Linked DNA regions of Saccharomyces cerevisiae S288C. Changing the gene in region 1 together with any one later gene gives a genetic interaction. Each region holds a gene or a part of one and is shown in the gene's direction. Other genes may lie near its edges.

Evidence for each region.
Region 2: mutations in CUP9 (region 1) and QDR2 together harm fitness more than expected from each alone (negative genetic interaction), as found in Saccharomyces cerevisiae (2 studies listed by BioGRID).

The regions. Positions count from the first base shown.
Region 1 is NC_001148.4:200,024-216,233, reverse strand, and holds CUP9 (Cup9p), read left to right. Parts: upstream 1-2,271; coding exon 2,272-3,192; downstream 3,193-16,210. Other genes in the region: TRE1 (Tre1p), read left to right, coding at 1-222; nuclear cap-binding protein subunit CBC2, read right to left, coding at 3,450-4,076; PPQ1 (protein-serine/threonine phosphatase), read right to left, coding at 6,428-8,077; TCO89 (Tco89p), read right to left, coding at 8,587-10,986; CTI6 (Cti6p), read right to left, coding at 11,293-12,813; tRNA (34-2'-O)-methyltransferase regulator RTT10, read left to right, coding at 13,698-16,210. UniProt on the Saccharomyces cerevisiae protein: Probable DNA-binding protein which plays a role in protecting yeast cells against copper toxicity. May regulate the expression of important copper homeostatic genes.
Region 2 is NC_001141.2:125,275-142,486, forward strand, and holds QDR2 (cation transporter), read left to right. Parts: upstream 1-6,969; coding exon 6,970-8,598; downstream 8,599-17,212. Other genes in the region: alpha-ketoglutarate dehydrogenase KGD1, read left to right, coding at 1-459; AYR1 (acylglycerone-phosphate reductase), read left to right, coding at 930-1,823; putative glucosidase SIM1, read left to right, coding at 2,877-4,307; POG1 (Pog1p), read left to right, coding at 5,336-6,391; QDR1 (multidrug transporter), read left to right, coding at 9,143-10,834; RPI1 (Rpi1p), read right to left, coding at 11,380-12,603; Rho family GTPase RHO3, read left to right, coding at 14,478-15,173; pheromone-regulated protein PRM5, read right to left, coding at 15,339-16,295. UniProt on the Saccharomyces cerevisiae protein: Multidrug resistance transporter involved in resistance and adaptation to quinidine and to the herbicide barban (4-chloro-2-butynyl [3-chlorophenyl] carbamate). Implicated in potassium uptake.

The DNA.
Region 1 (16,210 bases):
AGAACCTTTTACAAGAACGTTATCTTCGGGCCAAAACTCTGGGTCGACAAAGGTGACCCACTTCGTTCATGGACGTTCCCTGAAATCAGGGACACTATTGCAATCAAGGACTGGAGCTCTGTGCAGGTTCAAGCTAACACACTCGGCACAATTTTACAAAATACAGCACGCTATTTTCTTGAGAATAAAAACCTTCATGGAATAAACACGAACGAATTTTAGTTATCGGTTGAAAGAAAATTACACATCGATTTATGCAGGCAATCAACTATAGTATACACAACATATACTCCTATGACTTGTAGATTTCTTGCCTAGGAAGACTAAATACGTTTAATTCTAAGATTAGGAGCCCATGCATTTAAAGTTGCTTTTTGCCTGTGCGGGACAATTTTATTAGTCAGTATGGACATCTCCGCGGGGAATTTTTTTATCGGCAGAGCTGTTTAGACAAAGGATATAGATAGTATAAGGTGTTAGTACACACATTTCAACATAGTTATATTAGGAAGATTGCCACAAATTTCCTCTTTTTTTTTTTTTTCTTGTTTTTATTACACCTCCGCCCCTTGAATACCTTAGAGGTTAAGAAGTGAAATGCCAAGAGAAAGCCTAATAGGACACACAGTATTTACCACGGGAAAAGCGCGGGATATTTGAATCAGCTGGAGATTATTATGTACGCCATGTATATTTTTAGAGACGGCTTGTAACGGGTGCCAAGATATTCCATATTTTTATGTCTCAAAAAGGAAGAAAAGAGCTACGAGCACGTGCAAATATATGAACTTCAACACCTGTAGAAACTCGATAGTGAATAAATCAATCACAGTGCTTTCCTTGAAATAAGCTTCTGTCTGAACTTTAACAGTGATTTTTTTTTTATAGAACAGGCCTTTTCATCTGCAGAGATATGTCTAGTCTCGTAGGTTTTGACTCGTAACTTTGACTTCTGCATCTGGATCGTCAAAGCAACCCATACTTGACTTGATTACATTAGCATCAAAGAAAATCGTGCCAACGCCTTTTAGTCATGTCGAACGGTAGAGGAGGAGAAAGAGGGAGCTATCAAATTTAAAATTCGCAAACAAGCTGTTGAGAGCGACATAATAGCAATATTGTCGGGCCCCTTAAACACGTTTCATTAGTGTTTTAAGTGCCAAGCCAATGTGTTAGTAAGCTTGTAAAGGAATGCACGTATTAGAAAGTGAGCAACTTAAAAGTGAGCAAATATGATTAAAGTAGTATGCCTCCGAAGCTCGTCTTGTACTGCAAACTAAGCACAGAATATGCCGCACAAATGTCGGTGCCTATTATACATATGCTTTTCGTTATGTGTCTTAACAGACCTGACCGTTAACGGCAACAGAGAAAAGGAGCACTACCGACGGCTTTTTGCTTCTGGCCTATTTAGTGCCTGAGAATTTTGTGCGTGTTTCCTAGTGTCCGGCGGGCTTGACCTAGTCCACACTTCCAACAAGCACAAGCAGCGTGCTTCCTCACACTGGCGAATGCACCCAGAGTCGGCGTTGCCCGAAGTAAGAACCCTACCGCTACTCTGGCGCAGGCGCAGAGGAGCCACAGCCCTTTAAGACGCAAAAAAAGTAAAGCGGCAAAAGAAAAAACTGTCACTTTCGGACCGTTGGGTTATCCACGGGGTTTTCTGAGCACTCATGATCGGTAGCGGTATATTTCTGATCTCGCTCATTTTCTGTCAAATCGTCCTGATAATGGACGAAGACTGTACGTAAAGGGCAATTTTAAGAGACACAAAAGAATCCCACGAGAATTACTACTGTTGATTTTTGTGATTGGCTAGATAAGAAACCTTATCCGCTCACGCGCGTATTACTTCCTTCTTCGGATTCAGATTTCTTTCTGTGGGAACGGGTCATTTCTGCCATCTTACGTCTCTCAGCTTTTCTCTTTTGTTGAACCTTAATTTATTCATGTACATCAAGCTGTAGTTTGTTTTTTTCTTTTGGTAATTAATTTTTGTCCTTTTGTTTTCTTACAGCGTGTATATATTAATGATTAATTTTCTATGACTGATTTCGTCGCGCCCGGCGTTTTCTTGTCTCTTAATGCCTCCTGTTTCTGTTAATTGGTAAGATTATGTTAAATTGGTCAAGATATATACTAATACAATTTTTTAGTTGATCTTCCCACCCTTGTTTTCAAGCGATACCACGCCTATCCAGTGCTACTGATCGCTACTTGCCGAGCCCCTACTTTTATGCTAACAACCTTCGAGAATAGTTACATTCGAAGATGAATTATAACTGCGAAATACAAAACAGGAACAGTAAGAATGTTGACAATCAAGTCAGTCTACCCCCTATCCAAGTTCTATTTAACTCCATAGAAAAACGGAGTATGCCCGAGTTGGCATTTTCGAACATAGAATACTCGCATGGGAACCTTCGGTCTAGTACCGAGGAACAAAACTATCCTGCGCCTGTGTTACTTCCACAGCATCATTCGATTGCGTATCCCGCAATTAATTCTGGCGGTACTAGTACTACTGCTACTCCTACTGCTTCTACAGTTGAAACGTCCAAGACGAGTAGCAGTGCTATGGATACACAATCTCAATATGGCAGTTCAAAGAAGTCAAAATCGGCGTCCGATGATGCAAAGCCCTGCTACAAATCCGCCCCAATATATGAAATAATCAATAAGGAAAAGGATGCGGGGGCACAATACAACAGGCCATTTTCGGATTTTGTAGAATCTAAATCAAGGAGGAAGCAAAATTCGGGCAGGAGGTCTAACCTGCCAAAGGAAACAGTGCAGATACTGAATACTTGGTTGCTGAACCACCTGAATAACCCCTACCCAACTCAACAAGAAAAGAGGGAGTTGTTAATCAAAACTGGGCTAACCAAGATTCAACTTTCTAATTGGTTCATAAATGTGAGAAGACGCAAAATATTTAGTGATTACTATACCCTGGTAAACTCAATTCCTAATGACAACGCGAATAATACCCCAGTGGAACGAGTTCAAAACGTCTCAGCATATCATAACACATTATCTGCCACAAATAATACTATGTACGATGCTACGTCAACCTGCTCCACGGATTATGAATTATCCAAGAGATTTGCTCATGCCCCCGTTACACGCCGTAAAAAACTAATTGATAGGCTGGAAGAATTGAAAAAGCTATCCAACCCTGATATGAATTGATCACTTATCAATGCATTACTTAAATATTCATATAATTATATCTATTACCATTTACATTTTATCGTTACTATATATAGTATTATCATGTCATTGAACGTGTTACGTCTATTATGTTACACTGATTTTTTTTTTTTTTTTTTACATAACAGCATCATGCAAGCCTTTAAAAATAATGTAGGTATGTATATATACAATAATATATATATATATATATATATCTGTGTGTAGAATCTTTCTCAGATATAAATTGATTGATTCTACTGAGGTACGTAGTTATCATCTTCTCTTTCTTCATCGAAACCTGGTCTGAAAGTACCCATTGCATCAGGAGGAGGGATATAATTATTCGTATTAGATTGTGAGCTACTGTTATCAAATCTGGAATGTGGTACGCCGACACGCTCTGCAAATGGAATGGCGAAGCCACCTCTGGATGCATCAAAATCGAACCTCAATTCATCGCTGACTTGACCACCGCTCTTACCACGACCAAACTGTCTTCCATCTTCAAAACCAGGATCTAGATCAATGGTAATTGTCTTTTCGTCTAACTTTGTATCGGACAAATATTTTAAGGCATTCAATGCTTCATCTGGACAACTATATATAATAAAACAGAAGCCACATGGCGTGAACTTAAAACGGTCCAAACCCATAATTATTCTTTTTATTGTGCCACATTTACTGAATAATTCGTAAATTTGTTCTTCTGATGTATAAAAGGAAAGATTTCCTACATAAATTGTGGATGACTTCATCGACTCACGCAGTTCTTGTAGCCCGTTAGGGTTTCTTCTAGCCTTGCGCAGCAGGTACCTTGATGGTGTATCTAGGCGTTTAGTTGAATGATCATATTTAACTTCGTCAAATTCTTCCAGGGACATCTTTCCCTTTATTTATTGGTATATTAATGGATGCAACTTTTATTCGATATTAGTCCTTTCGGGACTTTAAAAGCTGTCGAGACACTTTCTCCATATAAACTCATGTTCTATATTCATACATATAATATTTTTCTTGAAAAAAACACAAAAACTGTTAAAGCGGGTAATACTTTGATAAGCACTTATTAACGTTTATACCATACACTACTTCATACACCAATTACAAATCTATTAGTGGTATACTTTTACTGTAGACAATGTGGATTTTGATGTAATTGTTGGGATTCCATTGTGATTAAGGCTATAATATTAGGTATATAGATATACTAGAAGTTCTCCTCAAGGATTTAGGAATCCATGAAAGGGAATCTGCAATTCTACACAATTCTATAAATATTATTATCATCATTTTATATGTTAATATTCATTGATCCTATTACATTATCAATCCTTGCGTTTCAGCTTCCACTAATTTAGATGACTATTTCTCATCATTTGTGTCATCTTCTAACACCGTATATGATAATATACTAGTAACGTAAATACTAGTTAGTAGATGATAGTTGATTTTTATTCCAACATTTACTGGTACAATAGGTGTATGATATTTTCCCAAAGTTTAAATTTATATAATATAAGTGGCTTGTGCATTAATGCTCTTGAACGAAACTGGATAACGAAAACTGCAAATACTTGTAGTTTTAAACAGACACTTTCTGGGATAGGTCTATCAGCGAAGCTTGGGAATGTTTCGCCAAATTACCTGTATCCTTTCATGAGCGTGAGCAGGTTTAGGTCATGGTCACATCTTATTATATAAATTCTTTCAGAAGATTGTCAATTGTCCATCTATCGCCATAGATTATCTGAGAGCGAAGTTCCATTATGTCTACTAGTAGAAAATAATTTGAAGTTGAAATATAATAGCATTACAAAATTTTTTCTTTATATAGTCCGGTCTTGAAGAAGGATAACAATATTAAGTGTATGAAGACACAAGAACTTTTTCTTGGAAATTTGGATTTTTATGGGAGGAAACCTACAGCGGCAATGTATAATTATGATTAGTTCATCCTTTGCTGCCATCTGTTCGCAATTATTCATGCAATTGTATGATTATTGTCAGGCATTTCAACTTCCGGTAGATTCGTTTGTAATAATAGGTGAATTTTGTGTTGACATTATCAAACCGTTAAGATAGTGTTAGTTGCCAATTAGCATTTGCCTCGATAGAATGTGACGTTAGTTGTGGTACTAGGAATAAAAGTTGATGGCCAAACATTTTTCCTGCACATTTCCTTCAGCGTTTTCAGAAAAGAGAATTTGAGTAAAAATATTTTTGATGTTTAGGTTACCAATATCTCATTAATATAAATTTGAAAACAATGAATTTTGGGTTATACTTGGAGTGCATTTTATTGTGGTTAAAGGCTACAATATTAGCTAAACAGAATGTACAAGTAGTTTTCCTGGAGAATAAAAGAATTCTAAAAGAGAATCGATAATTCTATACAATAATATAGTTATCTCTTCTTTCGTTTATGTACTGTCGTTCTTGTTTTATTACGTTATTAATCCTTGCAGTGCACTTTTCATGATGACTGGTGACTGTTTCTCAATTTTTACATCATTTTTTTTTGAAAACATGATGATATACTAATAATTTGGATACTAGCAATAAATGCTTCTTGATCCTCTATTCCAACAAAAAAGTAACAAGAGCTTACTGATCTTCGGTTTTTATTTTACCTTATCCCAAATATCAAATTGAAATATACCGATTGTTTTAATCCGTTTTGTTGTATATTATCGTAATAATATGCAGATAATATACATATATACGTATTACGCCGATTAGGCTGACACTTTAACAAAATTTTCTGTCCAATTATTGTCCGATATAGTGTAACGGCTATCACATCACGCTTTCACCGTGGAGACCGGGGTTCGACTCCCCGTATCGGAGTTTTCTTTTTGCTTCCTTCCGCCCTTCCAAGTTGTTGCATAATCTTATCTGTCAAAATATGAACGCTTGAAAACTATAGATTATAATTATCATTTATTTAGCCATAATGGAGGGAAGAATAATATGATTGCATATCAAAGGTAAAAAAAGTCGAGTAAATGACTTATAAACGTAAAAAATATATTGATAAAAGACATAAACGAGGCCATGAAGGTGGGAAAAAAAAAAATAACTGCATAATAATGTTAACTAAATGAAAATAAAATGAAAAATAAAATGAAAAATAAAATGAAAAAAACAAATCATAGGACAAAAAGTTTCCAAATGAAGGATAAGAGGCCTAAAAACCAATGTGCTTTCCAGGCAAAACCAATCTTAGCAACAGCTACACTTTGGTTTTGTATAACTTCTTTTTATTTTTCAATGCACGCGGCTTTAACAGTTCAAAGCTACACATCATACCCGTTGTAACGCTCATTACTGCCCCCCAATTATGAAATTCTCCACAATAATTTGGTGCTGAAAAGATTGTGACAAACTTTTTCCTGGCAAAGAATTCATAACCATCTTCTACGACCATATGTCCCCTAAGTATTAAATCGAATTTAAACTTAGCACAAAAATCAAGAACGTTCCTCTTAGAAAATGTGTATGAAACACCACGATCATTTTCTGACCAATCAGTTACTTGAGGGTCTGGGTCACTCCACAGTAAGTCTGTAACCAGCCCGCTTTCAGGAATATCCGTTGGTCTTGCGACTTTTTCGATTTGCTTCATGTCATGTAAATCGGGCGATATACCTCCATGAACGCAAAAGATCTTATCTTGAATAATTGCTGCTAATGGCAAAGTATTAAATACGTCAACGAACATTTTCCATACTTTCGAGCTCAATCGCCTTTTGCATTCATCATAGAAACCGTACATCTTTGTGACATTAGCAGATTCGTGATTACCCCTTAACATAAAAAAGTTGTCTTTGTACTTTATTTTGTAACATAATAACAATAGTATTGTTTCCAATGAGTTCTTACCACGGTCCACATAATCACCCAAGAACAGATAATTAGTATCAGATGGCACACCAGACAACTTCAAAATTCTCAATAAATCATTAAATTGTCCATGAACATCACCGACAACTTTGATAGGCGCTTGTAATCTCAAAAGAGTAGGTTGATTCAAAAAAATTTCTCTTGCATGATAGCAAATGAGTTGAATTTCCCAAGAATGGAATGGAAAGTTCTTTTTTTTGGACGTTTTTGTAATTTCTCTTGACTCACCCACTTGTAGTAATTTTTCGATCGCAACATCGATATCAAGACCTTCATTTGAAGAGGTATCATGAGAATACCGTCTCAAAAATATAGGCTTCTTGCTACTTTTAGGATTAGGTATCCCAGATGTTGGGGACGAAGGCGCACCAAAAGAACCTGCCTTAACCGAAGATGAAGGAGACTTAACTCTGGACGATAACCCTGAAGATTTTAAAAATGATGAGGTTGATGAGGAAGCAGACGTAGCGGATGAGTAGTAGGAGGAAAAAGAATATGAGGATGGAGAAGAATAATTTGATTCACGATAAGAGGGTGATGTCAGGATATTATTTGAGGTAGTGGCAGTGGTAGTAGAGGAAGTTCTTGCGGTATTGATCAGCTTCGGAGCAGTTGCTGATGAGGATAGGGCTTTAGCGACAGAAACATCGATATCTAGGTACAAGCTCTTCAAGTTTTCATCCTTAGTGTATATTTTCTGTTTATGGGCATTCTCACCAGGAATGAGCAAATTATCATTGCTAGCTCGTTTATTGTTGTTGTTTTTCCCGGCCGATGCTAAAGTGTTGTAATTGTTTATAGAATGTTTATTATTGAATTTCTTGATAGTAGGTAGAGACCTACTATCATCTGGGTCATTAGGTTCGTTACTGTTGAGATCATCTGAAGGTGTAGTTAATTGTTGCTGACTAGAGTTTGAATTAGTTGAGCAATTCGGTACTGCAAAGTTATTATTTGATCTGGACGGGCTTCTTCTCATAAATAGAATATAAGTGAAGGGAAAACAATATCTAACTTGAAAGGAAAATGGACTAAAGTAATAAAATAGGTTTTTTGTAAGGACAAGCTTGTAAATGAAACGTCAGAGACTCGGTAAAACAAGATTAATTTGAATGTAGTGATTCTGACCGATAGTATTTATAGTCCGTGAGGAATACTTACCAAAAAATTGCTAAAAGAATAGACACGTTTAAGGTATATTTACTAATGCCATTTTTTAAGAGATACGGAATCCAGCGAAATCGCTAAATTTGCGGTGGTTGCATTCAACGTTTTTCTTTCTTTTTGTTCGATAATTTATCATTTATTACGTTAACCGGGTTATACAAATACGCCTCGTTAGCTCGTATAGAAGTACATGTCCTTTTATAGTGCATAAACATAGTATGTTCCTTAAGTGTCCAAACATATTCGCTCTCTACGAACTTCGCGTTTTACCTCGAAAGCATTAGCTACTCTTTTAAACTGTGTGCTTCGTGTTGGTTGTTTTCACCTTTGTTGTGGCTGTGTATGCATGTAGCCCACATTTTCCATCCTGCGATTCACTGCCCTCGTAGTCGGCTGCAGAGAGTTAATGACGCGTTGGTGGTGCAAAGTCGTGCTGGAACCCATCGGGCCCCTCAGCAAGTTACGTGCATTCTGTGAAGCAGTGTGGCCAACGCTGTGGTTTGTACTCGTTGTCCTATTCTTGTTGATTGGATTAACATCCTTGTTAAATAAGTAACTTTCGCTTTTCCATATACCGGACAACACTGCCTGAATCTTTGCACTTGCAAGATGTGGATAAAGATCATCAAATTTTTTGTCATAGTTAGTAAAGAGCAAATCGTCCTCATCCTTATGATCTGTATCACTGCTAGAATGTGCGATTGACTGAGCATCGTTATGGCTTTTTTTCCTGATATTATTTGCATTTCCCGTTATTATAGGTTGTACTCTCAACAATGCTTCATCTAATGGGTTGTAAAATCTTTTTACATTAGAGTATTCATGGGATATTCTCTCAAACTCCCTTTTCGCATCAATGTTTCCTGCCATAAAGATAGAGTCACTACCGTCATTTTGTGAACTTAAGTCCATAATAGAATTCTCCCTCTGCAACCATAATTTTCTTTGTGTTCTTGATTCTGCATCAATCCCATCTGATTTAAGGAACTGGGCGAAGCTATTAAATTTGGCACCTGAGTTGGATTGTCTGTTTGCATCGCTACCGGAGTTCGTACTAGATGTAATATGTTCGTTGGACAATGGAGAGGCCGGGGCTGCAGAATTTTTGTTGAGATCGTTGGATCTCAGAAGTAGATTCTGATTACCTTTCTTGTGAAAAATATTATTCATTCTTGAACCATGGAAGCTTTCAGGAGCAGCTCTCCTCAAATTATTGGTTAAACTCGATATGGAGGTCGAAAAGTTGTGCTGTGGTACATTATTATCTTTACTACCGATGTTAGCAATGGTGGGGAAAGTAGACTGAGAGTTCGGTATATTTTGGCCAAGTTGAGATCTTCCACCATTTTTCTTGCTCTTGCGCAATTTGCCATCATCCAGTTCATTAAAAGTATCACCTGAAGCCATATGCTCACCCGAGTCATGAATTTCATTCCCAAGCGAATTTTGGATGGATGATGAATTTTCAAATCTACGTTCAACTCCAGTCGACTGGGAGAGAATCATATTAGGCGCATAATTTTCCAGTAAGCTATGCCCTTCAATATCCTTGGTACCAGCGGAAGAAATATCATCAGGCTTGATTAGATCTTCTTCTTCGTTTAATAATTTGTGTTGTTTAGAACTTTGTCTCCTAAGAGACATAAAGCTCGAGTCGCTTTTTCTTGATGAATTACTCCTAGGGGCATCAATGTGATCTTCCTGATCAAACTGTTCATCTGAATGACTTGGTTTTTGATTACTTTTATGTGCAGCTAAGGTATTACCAACATCAAGAATTTTTTTTTCTTTATCATATGGTGCTTCTGATATATTATCGCCCGCTTTAACCAATGAGGCCCTCAAATTTTGAGAATGGCTGGACAAGTCATCAATATCAGCTTCCTTCGTCACCTTTGATTGCCCCTCTTCATTGATTACACTTGTTGCATTCAGTTTTGTTTCAATTGAGCTTGGAGATGTTTCTCCATCTTTCTGATGTTCTATAGAATGGCTTGATTCTCCGAAATAGTTATTGGAAGATAAATGAGGTAATGGTAAGGATACAGCTCTATGATTTTCCTTTCCATCAGTACCTGATTTATCTTCTTCTTGTTCATCTATTGAATCCGGGGATTGTAATTCATTCTGATTTAATTGCTGCACATTCTTTTTTTCTTCAGGCATAACATGCTCGGCTATTACTTTATCATTATTCACCTTTCCATCTTCAATGTTGTCTTCCGAAAAACATTCCACCTCCTCGTCAGTAGTAGATTCACTCTTTTTAGATTCTTGCGCATCTCGAAGACTCAGAACAGATTGGGTACTTTTACTTCTTCGTGGTTTCAGGCCGAAACCAGCAGTTCCAGTATTAGAATGACTGCTGTTCTTTGGACTGAGCAGCGTATTATGCACCGGACTATGAAAGGATGCTGATCTTTTTCCTTGATTGGACTTTACTCTTGTTAAAGCTGTCATATTCAACCCACTAATCGTTCGCTTTCTGAAAAGTGCATCAGAACTCTTGCATTTCTGAGAAACGTTGTGCTTATTAAAATAATCATTATCCAGGGTGCCATCATGTGTTAAAACTCTACGCAAACCTTTGAAGCTTGCGTTACTCTTTGCTCTCGACCTAGTCGAAAACTGTCTAAATGGCTTTGACTGGTGTGATACTGTTGACGCATTAAGAGATGTTACATCAGTGTCTGACTTCAAAGTCCTTCCTCGATGAACCATAATTATAGTTACTCAGTAAGGATATATGATATATCCCAATATCTATGTTTACCTGACCCGTAAATCGATAGAATGTGCTAGTCCATTAGATGTTTGGATTCCTTAATCATCGTGCCAGCCAAATCGCTATACCATCCGCAACTAGCTATCCTTGCGGTTACCCGTACAAGAGTAAGCTCGGTTGATAAAAACAACGTTGAATTAGTCGTTTTTATATCCATATAGATGTATATATATGTATAGATGTGTTTGTTCGCCTCATTACAGTTATACTTTGGTTGAGAATAATATTGCAGTGTTTTGCGTTTATTGAATGGCATTAGTGTTATTTGAATATTTTTTCTCCCATAGTAGTAACTCTCTAGTCAGGTCGTCCATCATTGATAGACTTTCATTATAACCGTTGTAAATCGTATCAACTTTTTCTACGAAATGCTGGTTTTCCACGAATCGTACAAATTCCTCTCGATCAGACTGATCTTCACTCAATTCCCATTGAGTTCTAGAAATGAACTCCAAAATAGCGGATACCCTTCTTCTCATTTCGTTTAATGAGGTCCTTTGAGGGGGTAATCTGGGCTTTACTGGTTTGTCGGTACCTATATCAGCACTCCTTCTATTTTGGTTGGTGTCTGAACTTGTATTGCTTCGACGAGTTCTGTTGCCCTTTCTTGCTGGTTTGGAAACTCTTTTAGAACCCCTCGAACTAGCTTTCCTTGAATCATCCTCAGAAGAAGATATTGAGGTTAGGGGTAGGATGGGTTCATCAGTTTTCTCAGTGTCTTGCGCCGAACCCGTAGAAGATTCCTTTTCTTGACTAGCTTCTTTTTCCACATCATTTGTTTTTTCCATTGATTGCTCTTTCGATGGTCGTAGGCTTTCTTTCATATCATCATTTGTTACCGAGTCCGGTTTGCCTTCCGTTAGCATAACATCCGTTTGTAATCGAGTGGTGCCGTTGTGATTGTCGGTATCACCTTGGTATATATCAGCATCATTTTCATAACTTTCAGGATCTTCTTGATGTGATGTCCTCCTGCTTTCTTTCAAGGCTTTTTCAAGCATTCTTTGATATTGCTTTTCTTCTCTTGCCATGAAAGTTGCCCTTTTTCTATCCAGTAGCTTCTTATCACTATCTCCAGGATCCAGTGAATACTGATCGGTAGAAGCATCATCCATTGAATTCCTCCTCCTCCTTCTACTTGACCTCGTGTTGCCGTCCTTGGCTAATGCTACAGCCGAAGCTTCATCTTCTACTTCATCTTCTTCGTCGCCGATATCGTCGACGTTATCATCGGTATTGCTGGTATTTCTGGGACTTTTCTCTGCTTCATTGGCGGCATGAGATTTACTTGCAGCTGCACTTCGTGCCTTCCTTCTTGATTGCCTCCTTTTCTCTTGCACAGGTTTATAGATTGACCTTGCTTCGCCAGTATCTGTGGTAAAGAGCTGATGTAACTCCGGTCTGCATTGCTCGCACCAATATTTATCAGGTGCGTTGTCTTGAGTAATACTCACACAATAACCGTGCTGCCAGGAACTGCACTGCTCACATTGAATGAAAAATCCGGAGTCATCTGGAGTATCGAGCTCTCCACAGATACAGCGAGTTTCGCCTTCCTCTTCCTCGACTTCCCCCTCTCCACCTTCCATAGGAACATCTTCTTGTTTTACACTTTCTTCCTGTACACTTCCAATCGCCGCCGTTGTTGTCGCTGTTGATGTTGTTGATATAATGTCTGTGGACCCACTAGCAATGACTTCCGCTTTCTCCATATCTTCACTACCCACAACAGGGCCTTTAGGCACTATTGCTGTCGATTCCATTACTCTTCTCTATACTCCTATATGTTTATGCTATCTTTTAGTAAGGTTACGCAAAGTAAACTTCGAAGGAAACAAACTATTGATGGTCTCTGTTGTGAACTTTGTACCCCTGTAAATACCCAGTTACATAAAATTCATATACGAAAACCAACAAGAACAAAAAAGAAAAAACTAATCAACAAAACGTTATTTTTTGATCATGCAGTGAAAAGCCACCAATAGAAAATTGAAAATAGAAAATGCAGCTGATTGTGCTGTGCGGTTTACCTAGTTTACCCATAGCGGAGAAATTTTTCAAAACTAATTGATTACGTTAAAGCCTGTCTGCGACGTGCTCCGTCCTATTTCCGCAAGATGATGAGGGTAATGCCCTTTATAACTGCTCAAAATAAAAAATAACCGCCGAGGTCTTTTTAATTATCAAGGTTATAAGAAGTGCCAGAAGTGGGTGAACTTAACTCAATAAAAAAATATTAGTGACGAACATCTATCAAAAATTGAAAATTGAAGGTACTGCTCAGAGAAACTGAGTCTGGTCTTGCCTACATCTTTAAGAGGAATTTGTTCTGGTGTATTATTTATACAGCCGATAACATTGATGATACTCTCAGGGTCATTTTCACGTAGTCGTGCTTTGGTGAGTTGTATACTACCCTACGTACTTTTCACCGCTTATGTTTTACACTGGGGTCTGAATGATAGATTTAAGCCTAGCATACACATCGGCGTCTCACAAAAAACGACGCTGCTGAAAAAAAAAATGTAAGAAAAAAAAAGTGGAAAAATATGAGCATGAAAAAACTTCTGCTAGCGGACCTCATCGTTATTTAGCTTCTCATTCCCGCCAATTGAAGTTGCTCATTGAAGAAGAATAAGTGATTAAAATGAAGGACTTGTCTCATTATGGTCCTGCGCTATGTGTTAAATTTTACAATGATTATGTTCTAGCTGGTTATGGGCCTTTCATCCATGTCTATGACTATCATTCGGCTACGTTGATTAACAAATGTAGGCTATTTCACTACAATAAAGTTCATGGACTTAGCCTTTCTAGTGAAGGGAAAATTTTGGCCTATGGTGCAAGATCAGTAACAATAGTGGAACTTGAAGACGTTTTAAAGAAAGAGTCATTGGTGGATTTCGAAAGGATTAACTCAGATTGGATTACCGGTGCTACATTCAGCTTTGACAACTTGCAAATATATTTGTTAACATGTTATAATAAAGTGCTAATTTGTGATTTAAATTGTGAAGTTCTTTTTAGGAAGTCTCTTGGGGGAGAAAGATCTATTCTATATTCCGGTATAATTAAAGTTTTCGGTCCGGATAAAGTATATGTTAACGCTGGTACTGTAATGGGCGGTGTTATCATTTGGGACCTGTTCTCGGAGACAAAAATTCATAACTTACTGGGTCATGAAGGTTCTATCTTTTATGTTAATTTAAGCAACAACGGAAGATATGTTGCCAGTTGCTCTGACGACAGATCAATTAGACTGTGGGATTTAGAAACTGGCAAGCAGCTGTCTGTTGGCTGGAGCCATACGGCAAGAATATGGAATTTAATGTTTTTTGATAATGATTCAAAACTAATAAGTGTTTCTGAAGATTGCACATGCCGTGTATGGAACATTATCGAATCACGAGAAAACGTTGCCGAATTATCCATATCTAACGTTTACGAAGTACATTTAATCAAGAGTATATGGGGCGTTGATGTGAAAGACGACGAAATGATAGCTGTAACCTCCGGGAATGATGGTAGGTTAAAGCTGATTGATCTTCTTCAACTGAAGAGACACGGCGATGAAGAAACATCGTTCAGTCTAGATGATATCGCAAAGCAATGTGGCGATATTTTCGAAAAGAATGAAAGTATCAAGGGATTTCAATGGTTTTCATTCGGTGTAATTGCTATCACTTCATTGGGTAAAATACTTAAATACAGTGATGTCACGAAACAATGGAAGTTGTTACTAACAAATGAAAAATTCAACTCGTATCCAATTACAAATGGGATTCAAACGCAAAATATCGCTGTCTTTTCCAATAATAAAAGTGACATCCTTCTTATCAAATTTAGCAAAGATAGCGCTGACATAATTGAGACCGAAGAATTCCATTTAGATGAGCTTTCTAAGACAAATAACTGTCTCGTTACAGAATACGATGATGACTCCTTCCTATTGACTTTACAATCCCCAAATCCTCGAGAGAAGTTTGTATGTTTGGAAATAAGCCTTCAGAACTTAAAAATTAAAAGCAAGCACTGTTTCAATAAGCCGGAAAATTTTTCTTCCTCATGTTTGACCTCCTTCCGAAATCATATTTTAGTCGGCTCACGTTTTAGTACATTAGTAATCTACAACTTACTTGATGAGAGCGAGGAGCCCTTCATAATTAGGAGATTAAGTCCCGGAGACACTACAACCTCAATCGAATTTGTAGAAGATAAAGACAACTCTGCGGTCTTCTCAGTAACAAATAGGGATGGCTATTATGTATTTATTGAGTTGACGAAAAACAGTTTGGAAGAGGGTCCCTACCGACTAAGTTATAAGGTCTTGCATTCTAATAAGATGATGAAAGGTTTCTTGGAGGGCGCTTTCTTTAATTCAAAAGGTGAATACATTACTTATGGGTTCAAGTCCAGCTTGTTTTATCTCTACAATGAAACCAACTGTTATGAACTAGCTAGTGAAGTTTGTGGTGGTTCCCATCGTCTGTGGAATCTCGCAAAAATTACTGATGGCCACGTATTAATGTATATTAAGGCATCCCGATTTCATTTAAGGAAAATTTACAACTCCATTGTGCCTGAAACTTTAGAAAATGGTGTACACGGAAGGGAAATCAGAGATATTTCAATCTGTCCTGTTTCAAATACCAACACGAATGACAATTTTAAGGATGGGCATATATTCTGTACTGCATCTGAAGATACTACAATTAAGCTGGGATATTTTAACAATAGAACAGGGAAGGTGCAGAATTTTTGGACACAAAGAAAGCATGTGTCTGGATTACAACGTTGTCAGTTTATAAATCACAAACTAATGATATCATCTTCAGCTAGAGAGGAGTTATTCTTATGGGAATTGAACGATAAGTATAATAAACGACCATATATGACCATACGACAAGCTTTACCTGTATCCACAAATAATTCTGATCTAAGGATCATGGATTTTGATGTCAAATTTATATCACAGTCAGGTGACTTCTTATTAGTTACTGTTTATTCAGATTCAACAATAAAGATTTGGCACTATAGGGAAAATCAGAATAAGTTTGACCTGATCATGCAAGGTCGTTATAAGACGTGCTGTTTATTCAACGTCGTATTTATTGCACTGAAAGAAGAGCTCCTTGTTGTCATTTCACCAACTGATGGACA
Region 2 (17,212 bases), on another chromosome or scaffold:
CTTTCCGAATTCACTGAAGGCGGATTCCAATGGATTATCGAAGATATTGAACATGGAAAAAGTATTGGTACGAAAGAGGAAACCAAGAGATTAGTTTTGCTGAGTGGCCAAGTGTACACTGCCCTACATAAAAGACGTGAAAGTTTGGGTGATAAGACCACTGCTTTCTTAAAGATTGAACAGCTGCACCCATTCCCATTTGCTCAGCTACGTGATTCATTAAATTCTTATCCAAACTTGGAAGAAATTGTTTGGTGCCAGGAAGAGCCATTGAACATGGGTTCGTGGGCATACACAGAACCACGCTTACACACAACATTAAAAGAAACGGATAAATATAAGGATTTCAAGGTCAGATACTGTGGTAGAAACCCAAGTGGTGCTGTTGCTGCCGGTAGCAAATCACTACATTTGGCCGAAGAAGATGCCTTTTTGAAAGATGTTTTCCAACAATCCTAAAGATGAATTCAAATATGAAAAACATGAAAATACAGCCATATAAACACGTAATATTTTTACCTTAATGTTTATGGACAGCCTTTTTACTTGAAGAATGATCTAACAAATATTTTTTTTGATACATTCACATTTTTTTTTTGTTCATGATGTTAGCATCTGCTTAGTCTTTTTAAAATTATTTAATTTAACGTTTTATTTATGTGAACCTTTTTTTATTAGTTGTATTTACTATTTATTCAAGAATCATTCTTTACTTTATATTGATATCGTTTTTTTCCCCCTACTTCCTCCTCTGGTGTATTCACAGCTAGGTGCTTCTCTTGTCCTCATCCGGTGGAGAAAAAAAGTGAAAAATAAGTCAATGGAAAGGGGGAAGGGGGTAGGTAAATAGAGTGAATAAGTTTTATTCATCATGCCCAACTTCTATTAATATATACTCAATTCAAATATTGATCAGGATTTCAAAGAGTATGTCGGAGTTACAGTCACAACCTAAAAAGATTGCCGTTGTTACAGGCGCCTCAGGTGGTATTGGATATGAGGTAACGAAGGAATTAGCCAGAAATGGCTATTTGGTTTATGCATGTGCAAGAAGACTAGAACCAATGGCACAATTGGCCATCCAATTTGGTAACGATAGTATCAAACCATATAAGTTGGATATTTCCAAGCCAGAAGAAATTGTAACATTTTCTGGTTTTTTGCGAGCTAATTTACCTGATGGTAAATTAGATTTATTGTACAACAATGCCGGTCAGAGTTGTACATTCCCTGCATTGGATGCAACAGATGCTGCAGTAGAACAATGCTTTAAGGTCAATGTGTTTGGTCATATCAACATGTGCCGTGAATTGTCGGAGTTCCTTATTAAAGCGAAAGGAACCATTGTCTTCACTGGTTCCTTGGCAGGAGTTGTGTCATTCCCCTTTGGTAGCATTTATTCCGCTTCTAAAGCTGCTATCCACCAATATGCTCGTGGGTTACATCTAGAGATGAAGCCCTTCAACGTGAGAGTGATTAACGCTATTACTGGCGGTGTGGCTACTGATATCGCTGATAAAAGGCCCTTGCCTGAAACCTCAATATACAACTTCCCTGAAGGTAGGGAAGCTTTTAATTCAAGAAAAACCATGGCTAAGGACAATAAGCCCATGCCAGCTGATGCGTACGCAAAGCAACTGGTTAAAGATATCTTGAGCACTAGTGACCCTGTAGATGTTTATAGAGGAACGTTCGCCAACATCATGCGTTTTGTCATGATATTTGTTCCTTACTGGCTATTGGAAAAAGGACTTTCCAAAAAATTTAAATTGGACAAAGTTAATAATGCTTTGAAGTCGAAACAGAAGAATAAGGACGATTAGTGTTTCACCATCGTCAATAGCTACCTATATTTATATACAAGATTCCGTATAGTTTGTACACCACGTCAGGACATCAATAGCTAATAATCGTTCTAATGCTAATGTTCAACTGCTCTTTAAGTATTGTTTACGTCTCGTCGTACCAGTATGCCAAATTCCTGTCACTTCACTCATTCTCTTTGCTCTTACCGTTTGAAACGCGCTGGGACGGAATTCGCTCATTTCGCATCGTGCTTTGTTGTTTTTTTTTTTTCAAAATTGCCATTGTTTATTTATAAACTACATGAAATTATTCTGTATTTATCTTCGCATTCCCTCTCTTACTTCAAAAGTGAGAACAGCATATTCAAATATATATATCTACTCAGTTGAATAAGACACTATAGCAAGACCATTTGAACTGAAAGAAACAGTTTCTTTGCTCCCCTCTCGAATTCCAACTATTTACAGTCCTTCCTTTATAAAAATTAACTAGCGAGCAAGAAAACATTTGTTTAGTGCTACCCAACTACTTACATTCCTTTAAAAACCACAATATTTAAGTTAACCTGAGCTTTATTTTTAGTAAGTTATTTACCACAATTTTTCTCATACACCTTTACAATCCGTATTGCCATGAATACCAAGGCTTGCTCAGCTTCTGCAGCAGTTCAACCCTTTCCAATACCGCCAATGCGTCCTCAAAACGTTAGTTTAGTCGTGCTCAACCGCTATTTTTGGTTTTATCTTCGTTTCTTTCTCCTGAACGACATTCGTCACGAAAATTGCGGCGGAAAATTTCCTGATGCGGACACTTTTTCCCGATCCGGACATGCCTTTTTTTGGCGTTTCGCGTCAGTCAATAGAAGTTTCAGATCTACATTAGGAAGAACCAGAAAATAGCCATTAATGCTTTCAGCATAGCACAGCATAGCAGCTGTGTATATCTTAAATAAGATGTAGACTGGTTTGCATTTGGAAAGGTTTTGTGTAAGAAAAGCAATACTTGAGGTAAAACAAGAGAAAAAAAAACACTTTACTAACTAATATCCAATCCTTTATTTTTTTGCAGAAATGAAATTCTCAACTGCCGTTACTACGTTGATTAGTTCTGGTGCCATCGTGTCTGCTTTACCACACGTGGATGTTCACCAAGAAGATGCCCACCAACATAAGAGGGCCGTTGCGTACAAATACGTTTACGAAACTGTTGTTGTCGATTCTGATGGCCACACTGTAACTCCTGCTGCTTCAGAAGTCGCTACTGCTGCTACCTCTGCTATCATTACAACATCTGTGTTGGCTCCAACCTCCTCCGCAGCCGCTGCGGATAGCTCCGCTTCCATTGCTGTTTCATCTGCTGCCTTAGCCAAGAATGAGAAAATCTCTGATGCCGCTGCATCTGCCACTGCCTCAACATCTCAAGGGGCATCCTCCTCCTCCTCCTCCTCCTCGGCAACTTCTACCCTAGAAAGCAGCTCTGTTTCTTCATCTAGTGAAGAAGCTGCTCCAACATCTACTGTCGTGTCAACTTCTTCCGCAACCCAATCTAGTGCTTCTTCTGCCACTAAATCTAGTACTTCTTCCACTTCACCATCTACTTCTACTTCTACTTCCACTTCTTCTACTTCCTCTTCCTCTTCCTCCTCCTCCTCCTCTTCTTCTTCTTCTTCTGGCAGTGGTAGTATCTACGGTGATTTGGCCGACTTTTCAGGCCCAAGTGAGAAATTCCAAGACGGCACTATTCCATGTGACAAATTCCCATCTGGTCAAGGTGTCATTTCTATTGACTGGATTGGCGAGGGTGGATGGTCCGGTGTGGAAAACACCGACACTTCCACTGGCGGTTCATGCAAGGAGGGGTCCTACTGTTCCTACTCCTGCCAACCAGGTATGTCTAAGACCCAATGGCCATCCGATCAACCATCTGACGGTAGATCTGTCGGGGGTTTGTTGTGTAAAAATGGTTATTTGTACCGTTCTAACACTGACGCGGATTACTTATGTGAATGGGGTGTCGAGGCTGCCTATGTTGTTTCTAAACTAAGCAAGGGTGTCGCCATTTGCAGAACCGACTACCCGGGCACTGAAAACATGGTTATCCCAACCTATGTTGAAGGGGGTAGCTCTTTGCCATTGACCGTTGTTGACCAAGATACTTACTTTACTTGGGAAGGCAAAAAGACATCTGCTCAATACTACGTTAATAACGCCGGCGTCTCAGTTGAAGATGGGTGTATCTGGGGTACTTCTGGATCTGGTATTGGTAACTGGGCACCATTAAACTTTGGTGCTGGCTCCACTGGTGGAGTGACATACTTATCATTGATTCCTAACCCAAACAACAGCGACGCATTGAACTACAACGTCAAGATAGTTGCTGCTGATGATTCATCCAATGTCATCGGTGAATGTGTTTACGAAAATGGTGAGTTCTCTGGCGGTGCTGACGGGTGTACCGTCTCTGTTACTTCCGGTAAAGCTCATTTCGTCTTATACAATTAAGCTACGTGACTACTACTTTTCCTTTTTTTTTTCTTTTTTCGAACACATCTCACCCCCTATACCTCACACAATCACTATGGTCCCCTTTTCTTTTTACCGATATTTATACTGTCCACCTTTTTCTTTTCGTTAATGGCCTCAATGTTTCTGTACCATTATCCAAGTGAACTTGTTAGACGACCAAATATAGCCAAGATTCATTACGATTATCTTTAACTAGCAAGTAGTATTCTTGGATAGAGAGATTTTCAAAGACGGAACAATTTTAAATAGATTTACATAAGAAAACACATACTGTCCGATACCCATAAGAAATTTAAGAACTCTTTTCATCTTCAGCTTTCCGGCCTCCTTTTACTGTAGCCTGTTCCTAGACAGCTAAAAATAGTACATATGCAGCTCTGCAATAGTCTCAAAGGGGATATTGTGTAGGTTTACGAAATCATCACATTTCCGAATCAGGACATGAAGGCACAACTTTCCGCACGTAGTGTTTTCAGCCCCCAGCGCCTGTCGGCGCGAAGAGGATCTGCGGAGATGAGCTTTGCCCCGCCATTACCCGTAAAATATTACTGTTTTGGGCAATTGTGGATCAAAAAGGGAAAATGCGGATGGTGAAAAAAATTTTTGGAAATTTACTGCTTCAGATGGGGGAACTTTGTAAGTTCTTCCTTTTTTTTCGTAGAGGTTGGAAAATTCAGAGTGCTAAGAAATTAAAAGGTATGCACTGCCTATTCTCATAAAAGCAAAAGTGCACAAAAATAATAAGGTGTGAAGCAATAGTAGAAAAGACACTGGGAACCCAAGGTATCTTATTTTAACAGATAAGTAAAACTAAGATCAAATCGCGTACTGATATCACTTAAGGTTCGCGTATTTTAAAGGCTACGCAGAAGAGGAAATAAATTGCGTGCAATCCCTGCGCTTAACTCATACAAAAAGGCGCAAAACATTTCAAGAGTCCCACGATTAATTGCAGAAATTGAAAAAAAATAAGTAAAGACGAAAATCAAAGTGGATGCCATATTATGAAGCAGGAGCCACATAGACAATCCGAAGAAAAAGAGAAGCCGAAAGGACCAATGGCTGTTGAACGAGAGCAGCATACCTCATTATCTTCTGGTACAACCGTGACAGCTAGTACAGGAGACGAGAGTACCAACAGTAGACCAGTGGAATCATCGCAAACAGAAAAGTCTCTATCGCTTCGAATAAGAATATTAAAACAACTTGGGTTTGACGATATTCAAGAACTAAATGCATGCGACACTGGCCTAGTGGAGCAATTTTTAAACGTACGATTGATAAACGACACAAAAGAACTAGAAAAGATACGCGAGTCAAATCTTGCGAAACTAAACCAGATTATTGATAAATGTATGGAAAGTGATAAAATAAGTGATTCGACATTAAACAAGATTCTTGATATGTCCATGAATAGAGATACAAATAATGATAACAACAATCATCTTACGATACCGTCTCCGATAACGACAAAGAAACGCAAGATAAACGCCTCCGAACTTGCAAGTCCACGAGGCCATAGAAGATATAGATCTGATATACCTACAGTGTCAGAAGTTGAGACAGGGGTCGGATACCCTCAAATACACCAGCAACCAGGCGCATATACTTTACCTATGCCTGCAAATCAGTGGATGAGCAACCCGTATATGCAACCTCCGCAACCACAAGTGCAACAGATAATGCCGCAGTATTTATATCCACCAGGGATGGGACCACAAGCTCAGCTTCCTACAATGAGCTCAAACTCGGAGTCCCAGACACCAGTGATGAGCTCACAGTTTCTTTCCTTGAACCAGCATGGCCTTTACCAACAAAATATAGGTGCTCATCCGGTAATGAGTATGGGCCCACAGGCAAATATATACGGGCAGCAGCACCAGCTGCAACCTGGTCAGGAACGAGACCAGTCAAGAAAAAGTTTTAGTCATAGAAGGTCACAAAGTGCCAATATTTCCATGGCAAATTTTAGGTCGCCCATGCGAAATCCCCAGCCGGCTTCGTCCCAAAGGCCCGTCAATTTTCTCATTCATACACCAAAACATCCTCCTCCCACATGACGTGCAGTAATTTTCATTTTTATCACCTAATTTCTAAAACTATATCCCTTCCTAACCTTCATTCGATGCATCCGTCCACCTTACTTCAGTTCAAAAAAAAATATATATCCATATATATGCTACAGTGTTATTATTACGATTTCTTTGCCTTTACTCCTTATCTCATTTCAATCATGAATAAACAGGATATTGATAATATATGCTGTCATTTTGGATTCAGTCTGCTTAACTGTCTTGTCCACCCCCGGTGTTCTTACCCGTCTGAGCGGTCGTAAGACGGAGGTAATAATTTTTCAGCATCCTGACCTCCCCCCCAAATCTGTGCCTTTCACCACATTTTTCTCGAGAAAATGTGTCTTGGCTCAGATGATGTCGTATGAGCTACTGGACTTTTTTTTGTTGGCCCTGATGAAAATAGTAATGGCGGTTACAGAACAGATAAACGGCGTCACCATCTTTTCCTAGATAAAGAAGCAATCTCTAGATAATGGGGTATATAAATATACATTGTAAAAACGGCAAGTCAGTTGCTGGTCATTTTAGTAGAAACTCTGCTCTCAAACTTGAGTACTGCAACGATGGCAGGAGCAACATCAAGTATAATTCGGGAAAATGATTTTGAGGACGAGCTTGCGGAGAGTATGCAGTCATATAATAGAGAAACTGCAGACAAATTGGCTTTGACTAGGACCGAGAGTGTAAAGCCAGAACCGGAGATAACCGCTCCGCCTCACTCACGCTTTTCCCGTTCTTTCAAGACAGTTTTAATAGCTCAGTGCGCTTTCACTGGGTTTTTCTCCACAATAGCAGGTGCCATCTACTATCCAGTTCTGAGCGTTATAGAAAGAAAATTCGATATTGACGAGGAATTGGTGAATGTCACTGTTGTAGTATATTTTGTATTTCAGGGTCTTGCCCCCACATTCATGGGCGGGTTTGCCGATTCACTGGGCAGGAGACCGGTGGTGCTTGTCGCAATCGTCATTTATTTTGGTGCCTGCATCGGTCTTGCTTGTGCTCAAACGTATGCTCAGATCATTGTGCTAAGATGTCTACAAGCCGCCGGTATTTCACCCGTGATTGCGATTAACAGCGGAATAATGGGAGATGTTACTACTAGAGCCGAGCGCGGCGGGTACGTTGGATATGTTGCTGGATTTCAAGTTCTAGGTTCTGCGTTCGGAGCCCTTATCGGTGCCGGATTATCATCTAGATGGGGATGGAGAGCCATCTTTTGGTTCTTAGCAATTGGATCTGGCATTTGCTTCCTAGCCTCGTTTTTAATTTTGCCAGAAACAAAGAGGAACATATCCGGGAATGGTTCTGTCACCCCAAAATCATACTTAAATAGAGCTCCCATTCTTGTTTTGCCAACAGTAAGAAAATCATTGCATTTGGATAATCCAGATTACGAAACATTGGAACTGCCCACGCAACTAAATCTACTGGCGCCCTTCAAGATTTTGAAAGCTTATGAAATTTGTATACTTATGCTAGTCGCTGGATTACAATTTGCCATGTATACTACGCACCTTACGGCGTTATCCACAGCTTTGAGTAAACAATATCACTTGACTGTTGCAAAGGTAGGATTATGCTACCTTCCCTCCGGTATCTGCACATTATGTAGTATTGTCATTGCTGGAAGATATTTGAATTGGAATTACAGGCGCAGATTAAAATATTACCAAAATTGGTTGGGCAAGAAGAGATCAAAGCTTTTAGAAGAACACGACAACGACCTTAATTTGGTGCAACGTATCATAGAAAATGATCCCAAATACACCTTTAATATCTTCAAGGCGAGGTTGCAACCCGCATTTGTTACCTTGCTTTTAAGCAGTAGCGGATTTTGTGCGTACGGATGGTGCATTACTGTCAAAGCCCCTTTAGCGGCCGTTCTTTGCATGAGTGGATTTGCGTCGCTGTTTTCCAATTGCATTTTGACTTTTTCAACAACTCTAATAGTTGATCTTTTTCCCACGAAGACATCTACGGCTACGGGATGTTTAAACCTTTTCAGATGCATTCTATCTGCTGTGTTTATAGCTGCATTGAGTAAAATGGTAGAAAAAATGAAATTCGGAGGTGTTTTTACATTTTTGGGGGCTTTAACCTCCTCGTCATCGATCCTCTTATTTATTCTCTTGAGAAAAGGTAAAGAATTAGCCTTTAAGAGGAAAAAGCAAGAACTGGGAGTAAATTAAGAAGTAAAGCTTCTTGAATCAAAGGAAAATGTTCCTTTTGATCGCTCCACTACCGAGAAAGAGGAATTGGTGTGATAAGTCTTCTCAAATAGAAAGTAATAGTAAGTATTTTTTTTTTTTTAATCTGAACTCTGTAATAACTAAAATTAGAGTTAGCAGCACGATTCACTAACATAGAACGGCTAGTACTGAGTTTTGCCTTTATTATTCTCCGCCATTTTTTGCCAAGGCCGAAAATATGCTGGAGGTGCGAAATTCGGAGATTCGGGTTTCATGTTTCTGGCCCGGTTGTTAACGGACCCTTTATCTCATCTTCTGATCTTGGAGTTTCTTCTAGTTGATAAAACCATGGTGAAGCTGAAAGGTTTGAAGAATCTCTATCACTGTAGCAAAAAAATCTTCTTACAACAAAAAAAGTAAGCAAGCAATCAGCGTTCAAAGGAACTTATTCTTGCTTAAAAAAAGTGATAATCTCTTAGCACTACCATCTTCTATTAATAAAAAAATAACAGATAGCTCATGAAGAGACTTCTATAAGTAAATCATGACCAAACAACAAACTTCTGTAATGCGTAACGCATCTATAGCCAAGGAAGAACGTGAAGGATCTGATAATAATAATGTGGACAGATCCAGCTCAGATGCCATCAGTGACAACGACGCAGAAAGATCTAATTCTCATTCTGAAATAGATAACGAATCAAATTTTGATATGGTGCCTTATTCAAGGTTCAGCCATAAGCAAAAAATGCTTCTTGTCGTTCAGTGTGCCTTCACAGGCTTTTTTTCAACCGTGGCAGGGTCTATCTACTATCCAGTGCTTACTATTATTGAGAGGAAATTTAACATCACAGAAGAGTTAGCTAATGTCACTATTGTGGTTTATTTTATTTTCCAAGGGGTGGCTCCTTCAATTATGGGTGGTTTAGCTGATACATTTGGAAGGCGGCCTATTGTATTATGGGCAATCTTAGCCTACTTCTGTGCCTGCATCGGACTGGCATGTGCACATAATTACGCCCAAATCCTGGCTTTAAGGTGTTTACAGGCAGCAGGTATTTCTCCTGTTATTGCAATAAATAGCGGAATAATGGGAGATGTAACGACAAAAGTAGAGAGGGGTGGATATGTTGGATTGGTTGCAGGGTTCCAAGTTGTTGGAACTGCATTCGGTGCATTGATTGGTGCCGGATTATCCTCGAAATGGGGTTGGAGGGCAATTTTTTGGTTTTTGGCTATTGGTTCCGGAATTTGTCTAGTTTTTTCAACCTTATTGATGCCAGAGACAAAAAGAACTTTGGTGGGAAACGGCTCCGTAACACCAAGGTCATTTTTGAATAGGTCTTTGATATTGCATGTTGGTTCCGTAAAAAAAACATTACATTTAGACGATCCTGACCCTGAGACCTTAGAACCACGTACTAGCGTGGATTTTTTAGCACCTTTAAAAATTTTGCACATACGAGAAATAGACATTTTATTGTCCATTGCCGGCCTGCAATTTTCCACGTGGACCACTCATCAAACAGCCTTAACAATTGTATTGAGTAAAAAGTACAATCTATCTGTTGCAAAAATAGGCCTGTGCTTTTTACCTGCAGGAATCTCGACACTGACAAGTATTATCTCTGCTGGTCGGTACTTAAATTGGAGCTACAGAACAAGAAAGGTTAAATACAACAGATGGATTAAAGAACAAGAATTACAGCTGATGGAGAAATATAAAGGTGATAAAAACAAGGTAGCAGAACTTATTCACTCTAATTCTCATTATGCATTCAATTTAGTGGAGGCAAGGTTGCATCCAGCATTTGTGACACTTCTTCTCAGTAGCATTGGCTTTACTGCCTTTGGATGGTGTATTTCGGTGAAAACACCGCTTGCTGCTGTATTATGCACAAGTGCATTTGCAAGTTTATTTTCAAACTGTATTTTGACCTTCTCTACTACTTTGATAGTAGATCTCTTTCCGTCTAAGGCTTCTACCGCAACAGGTTGCTTAAATTTATTTAGATGTCTCCTATCCGCAATTTTCATTGCAGCACTGACCAAGATGGTCGAGAAGATGAGATATGGAGGTGTTTTTACGTTTTTGAGTGCTATAACTTCATCTTCATCGCTTTTATTATTCTATCTCCTGAAGAATGGGAAACAACTATCGTTCGATAGGATTAGGGCAAATGATAAGTCGGCTGGAAGGTCAGTTGGTAAAAATTCAGAAAAAGTTTCGACGTGAAGAAAAAAAGTCGTAAAACTAAAAAGTCTCTGCCCCCACTTTCCAGAAACAGATATCTATATTTTATAACAAAGACGTACGGCATCATTTAAAGTATCTAAAATTTCTTTGAAGAGATCACATAAAAAATTTTCACCTTCTTTTTCTCTTTTTGGCTGTCCAAGTAAACAAAACATAAACTGCTTCAACCAAAGATAAAACTTGAGAAAATCCAAAATGAACAATAAGGACATTTCTTGGTGACAGATTCGTTAAGTTTCATTATTTTTTTCACTTATTTTATAGAAAAAAATCGGATGTTGAATGGGCATAAATATAAATGTATATATAAGTAATATTGTCTTGTTTCCCTGGAGAAGTAAATGAAAAATGAAATAGCATACAAAACAGACATAAAATTTAAAACAGAAATGAAATGAGCATTTAAAATTAATTAAAAGGTGAAACGACGAATTGAAAATTATTGATGAGGGTGAAGGGAAACAGGGAATGTGCTAGAATTAAAGGGGTAGAAAATTTATGGTGGAGACTTCCCGATACATACTTTAATGTTGTTGCATAAAATTTTCTGAGTCTGAAGTTGACATATTATGCAACGGTTTATTTTGTTGGTAAAATTTATGGTTTAATTGCTTAACTTCATTTTTTAAGCAGTTTACTTGTTCCTTTAAATTTTCAATAGTGTTAAACATTGTTTGCCACATGTATATGACATCTGTAGAGAAAACTGGGGAAATTTGTTCTTGTTGTGCATCGCGCGGTAGCTGTATAGGCATTGTTTGCTGGAAAAATGGCGATGGTGGAGTTTGCAGGATTAGATTGTCTGCCGGTGCTGATGACAAAAGGGAAAATTGAGCCGGGCTAATGAAGGATGGTTCTCCTTTGGTATCCAAAGCTGGCAAAGATTCTAATTTATCGAGGTTGATACTTGACTGAATATGCTCTGGTGTACTAAAAACATTAGTACTATGATTACTATTCCTATTAATATTATTGCTATTATTATTGTTGCTATTGTTACTATTGTTAATATTATTATTGTTATTGTTACAATTATTATAATAATGGTTATTAATATTATCATTAGTACCATTCTTGTTCGGCTTCAATGTTTTTTGCGACTTGAGTATAATGTTTCCGTTTACAAAACTAAAAGTGTTTTGTAACTGCACTAGCAAATACTGCATTCTAGATAATTTTGACGGATCAAAATTTAAGTTTGAGCCTGCCTCTTGTTTTGATTTTTTTTTCTTTTGCTTGGATTTCTTTGATGGATGCACTTTCAAAGACTTTGTGTATAAGACTTTAAATCTATCATGACATTGACGAGAGTTTCTCTCGTACCCATATTGTTGGAATAGGATTTTTGAAATTTTTTTCCAAAAATTCTTCATAGGCTTGAAATATTCTACGAATGTTAGTAATTGAGAATTATTCATTATTGTAGTAATGAATGCTATATCCTCAGGCTCTTTCCATTTTTTCCTTATCTGTCTTGCAGACGAGGAGGATGAATTAGAGTTGTTTAGCTCATTTTCGTCAATAGAGCCTGAGTTGGAGTTGGAGTTCGAATTAGAATTGGAGTTCGAATTCGAATTTGAACTGGAAATTATTCTTGGAGTAACTAAAGAGCAGTCCGAACCCGTTTCTTCATTAAAATTTGAAGTAATGGGTGTGTTTAAATTTGGTGAATAATCAGGGAAATTTTTGCTTATAGTGCTAGACTCATCCATTAGGTTCAACTTCGGTTGAAGATATTCCAAGTACATTTTATAAATATCAGTAATAAAATGATGAGAAAAAAAAAAAAAGACTTAAAAAAAAGGACTGAGAAATAGTTAAACGAATACGATAATATGATATACTACCATGAACTGTAGTCTGGATAACCAAACGGAAAAAAAGGAAATACAAAAAAAGTCAGATTGTAAGGAAAAAAAAAGAGTAGTTTCAGTATTACGAAAACTATTAGATCTTTCTTTAATTTGAACAAGAAAACAAGACTATAAAAAAAAATACTCTTTAGGATGCAGACATAAAAGAACAATACGACCGTCCCTTATTTATATATAGTCCATAGAAATAATCTCAACCAATATAATATGCAAGAAAATAACGAAGTAAGGAACAAGCACAATGGTACGCCCGGTCTTGAAAAAGTTTAAAACAGTACTCGACCCTAGGCGCTAGGGTGGGTGACGCATTTTAACTTTGCAACAGAATGCCATATGCGGTGTTAACCTCACAAGATCGGCTCTACTATCTGCAAGCTGCGGCAAATACCAGAGAAAATTCCATTCCCGTCGACAAAATTTAACCGACCCCCCCCCCCCCCAATTTACGTTTATCAGCTAATCCAAATGTGGAAGGGCAACATTCTCGACGACTCCTTTTTCCGTAATTTAAGTTTGCCCAGGCAAAATCTTATACTTGTTTTCGTAAGAGAAAGATGCGCAGATCCTTTAAGGTTACCTTCAAGCAAATCCAGAAGCACAAATGGCAGGGGAGAAAAGACATGAAGCAGGAGTAGTCAACCGCAAAAACCCCCGCGGGCTTGTTGTTCTGCACATTTTTGATGTGTTTGTTCCTAAGACAAAGTCCTAACTTAGGGTAGTAAGTGACTATATTCTGCACGCTCTTAAAGCAGCCACCTCGTTTAATTTTGCATGCTTATATAAGCTTATAAACGAAGTACCTGAGGACCTGCATCGGCCGGCCCATGTGAAAAGGAAGTATTTACTTTTTCTTCTTCTTTACTATGGAAATAGCTGGAATCCGACTATGCATATGCGTAAGAAAAGAAAATGAAGGAGTTTTCACAGGAAAGCACACTTGCATACTGGGCACAAGTGAGGAGAGGGGCCTGTAATGCTTCTGTGTTTAAAAGACTCCGAAATTAGTCAACGCAGATTTGCAGATGCACGCAAGAATACATAATCAATCACAGTAAGCACATCTCCCCAAGGAAAGAGTAAATGCCTTCGAGCCAGCATTGTGGTCATGCGAGATGTCTAAGAAAAATACTTCGATAAGCACGAGGAAATGTAATATGTCTATCTACCTTATTTTTTTTACAATAAACATATAATAAATCCCTTATCTGGTCACGTGAATTAAACTTCGGGTGTGTTGTAAGAATGGAAGGAGTAAGCGAAACTCAAATTGAGGCCACTTACCACTTCCGGTCGAGCCCGGCCCAGAACCAGTCGTCGGCCAACTTTTTTCTTGGAACAGCGTTACCGCACCTACGCGAGAAATAGTAGATTATAGATAAGAAATACAAGGAGAGGGGTGTGGATGAGCTTTTTTACAAAATAGTGTAAGGCGTCCGGGAAACCCCAAGAACGTTTTTTGACATCCACTAACAGGATTACCCGTCATAGATATACTGGTGCCATTACCCGTTAATGGCATCTTGTATATTTCTTTTATCTTTCTTAACATTCCTGAAAATTGGTAAACAGTAAAAAGAAAAGAAAAAGAAAGAAAAAACATGTATTATTTTGAATTTACTGGAAAATAGGCAACCATTGATTTTCGTTTTTTTATCGTTCTCATCTCTAGCTCTGGTCAGCATTTTTTACTTTATAACAACAAGTTTTTCATTAAAATCCATAGTAGCACAAGGTAAAGGGAAACAAACATGTCATTTCTATGTGGGTCAGCTTCAACGTCAAATAAACCGATCGAAAGAAAGATCGTTATTTTGGGCGACGGTGCCTGTGGTAAAACTTCGTTGCTGAATGTTTTCACCAGAGGTTATTTTCCCGAAGTTTATGAGCCTACTGTTTTTGAAAACTATATCCATGATATTTTCGTTGACAGTAAACATATCACGCTATCGTTGTGGGATACTGCGGGCCAAGAGGAATTTGACAGGTTACGATCCTTGTCTTATTCAGATACGCAATGTATAATGTTATGTTTCAGTATTGATTCACGCGATTCTTTAGAAAATGTCCAAAATAAATGGGTGGGTGAAATCACTGATCATTGTGAAGGCGTCAAGTTAGTCTTAGTTGCACTAAAGTGTGACTTAAGAAACAATGAAAATGAATCTAACGCAATCACACCGAACAATATCCAACAGGATAACAGCGTTTCTAACGACAACGGAAATAACATAAATAGCACCTCAAACGGCAAAAACCTGATAAGTTATGAAGAAGGTCTAGCTATGGCTAAAAAGATCGGTGCGCTACGTTATTTGGAATGTAGCGCTAAGCTGAATAAAGGTGTCAACGAAGCTTTCACAGAAGCCGCAAGAGTTGCTTTAACCGCGGGCCCAGTAGCAACCGAAGTGAAAAGTGACAGTGGATCCAGCTGTACCATTATGTAATATAATAAGACACGGACGCACACACAAAAGAATAGAACCCAAAAAGAGAGACTAAACAAATAATATAATAAGTTATAGAAGTTAATAATACTCCTACTATTTTATATTTTTTATGTAATTACTACCACTGCTTAAAAAAAATATTGCAAAATATCATAAAAGTTTTTACTCATCCTGTTCTTTCCCCTCCAGCATGTGCTCGAGATAAGTCGAAGGTGTAGGTTTTCTTTTGGACTGTACGACCAACAAATTACCCTTACTATGGTTACGATTTACGCTACCATCACTTTCTGGTGAATTAAGCAGCTTTCGACTTGGTGAAGATGCAATTTTTGCGGGTTTCCTTATGTCTTCACCCACCTCCTTTTCATTACCGTTATCGAGCGACGATGCGGATGATGAAGAGATTGTAGACACCAGAGAATTTGTAGATACATTATCACTTGTCATAATCACAGGTTTCTGTAATAATCTAGGGCTTTCTTGGTAAAGTTTAGATAGCCTTGTTTTGTATAAGATATCACCTGTTGGTGAAATGAAAAGTGAATTTCTGTTGGATTCGGATGCAAGAGAGAATAGCGGCCTTTCGAAATTACTTAAGAATGGTTTTTCATTATTAGTATGAGATACAAGTGCATCTTTCACCGATTCATCCTTATTTCCGGGACTAATATCGGACTCGCTGATATGGACCTGATCTTGGAAATTTTCTTTGGCGGGATAATCCATATATGGGGAATCGCCGTAAAACTGGGTATGTTGTGTGGAAAACATCTTTGATTCGTAGTCCTGAACACTTCTGGTCAACCTATGCGAAGAATAAGTTGTTATTACCCACCATAGCAATATTGCCAAAAAAATCACTCCCGCGATTCCCCCCACTACAATGAAAACTGTTCCATTAGGCATATCCCCGGAATCCAAAATATAAGGATTACCATTTCTAGAGGGAGGAGTAATACTTGGTATAATAGAAGAGGATGTAGAGTTGGACAAAAGTGGTAAAGAAGATGAAGAAGAAGCAACAGATGTTATCGTACTACTTGAACTGGCAGTTGTTGTCGAAGAAGTGGAAGTGGTTAATTTTGGAAGGCCTCTCTTGGCAATGGTGATTACTGTCATTCTTGCGTTTTGAGTGTCAATTTATTCTATTTTCAACGACCTTTTAAAGTAATAATGAGTGCTCTTGACTTAACTCTAATGCTATAACTGTTTCTTTGCACCGATGCGTTCCTTTGAATGATCTCAGGTAATATATTAAATATTTTTCAAATGTCTTTACCACATTCTTCAGTAATACATTTTCTCTCTAATTTTTCATTTTCCATTTTCCATTTTATTTTTAGAACGTGTGACAAAGTTGTTTCAAGAACAATATAGAATTCTTAGCCAAAAAGAGAAAGCAAGAAAATTAAACTTTATTTGTCTAAGAAAAGCCCGAACAGCGAAACCGATCACTTCCCAGGATCGGAAGGTGTCACTTTGCGCCTTTTGCTCCGCCGCTCTTTCGTCGGCGTTCTTTGCTTCCCTGGGCGCTGTCGCATTAAGAATATCATGTATATTCAGGAACAAAGGTAAATCACCTATAGACGTGCGCCGCAATAACCCTGCTAAGAAAATTCATTTAAAAAACTTACCTGCCAGTCTTGTTGTTTACTCAAACCACATACTATGATTATACTTTTGTCAGAGTTATGCGATGCCGCTTAAGCTTTGATTAAGAATTTTTTTCTCTTCTTTAAGTATGCCGTGCACTTTTCGCTTCTCCAAAATATGACCCAATACTCATTTGGTTATTTTTACCAAGTAATCGATCAGATAGCATTAATAGCGTGAATATTTGATGGAATAACATATTAGAAAAGCTTTAGCTGGCAATTCTTGTACTGTCTTTCGCCGAAACCTGTTTGATGACTACTTCATCAATTTTTTTTTTTTCTGCCGCATTCCAAAGGTCATAACTTTGCAAAAATAAAGGGTAAATGGTTAAAAATTGTTATCATAAATAAGGTGACCGGTTATATTGAGACCTTTCCTGG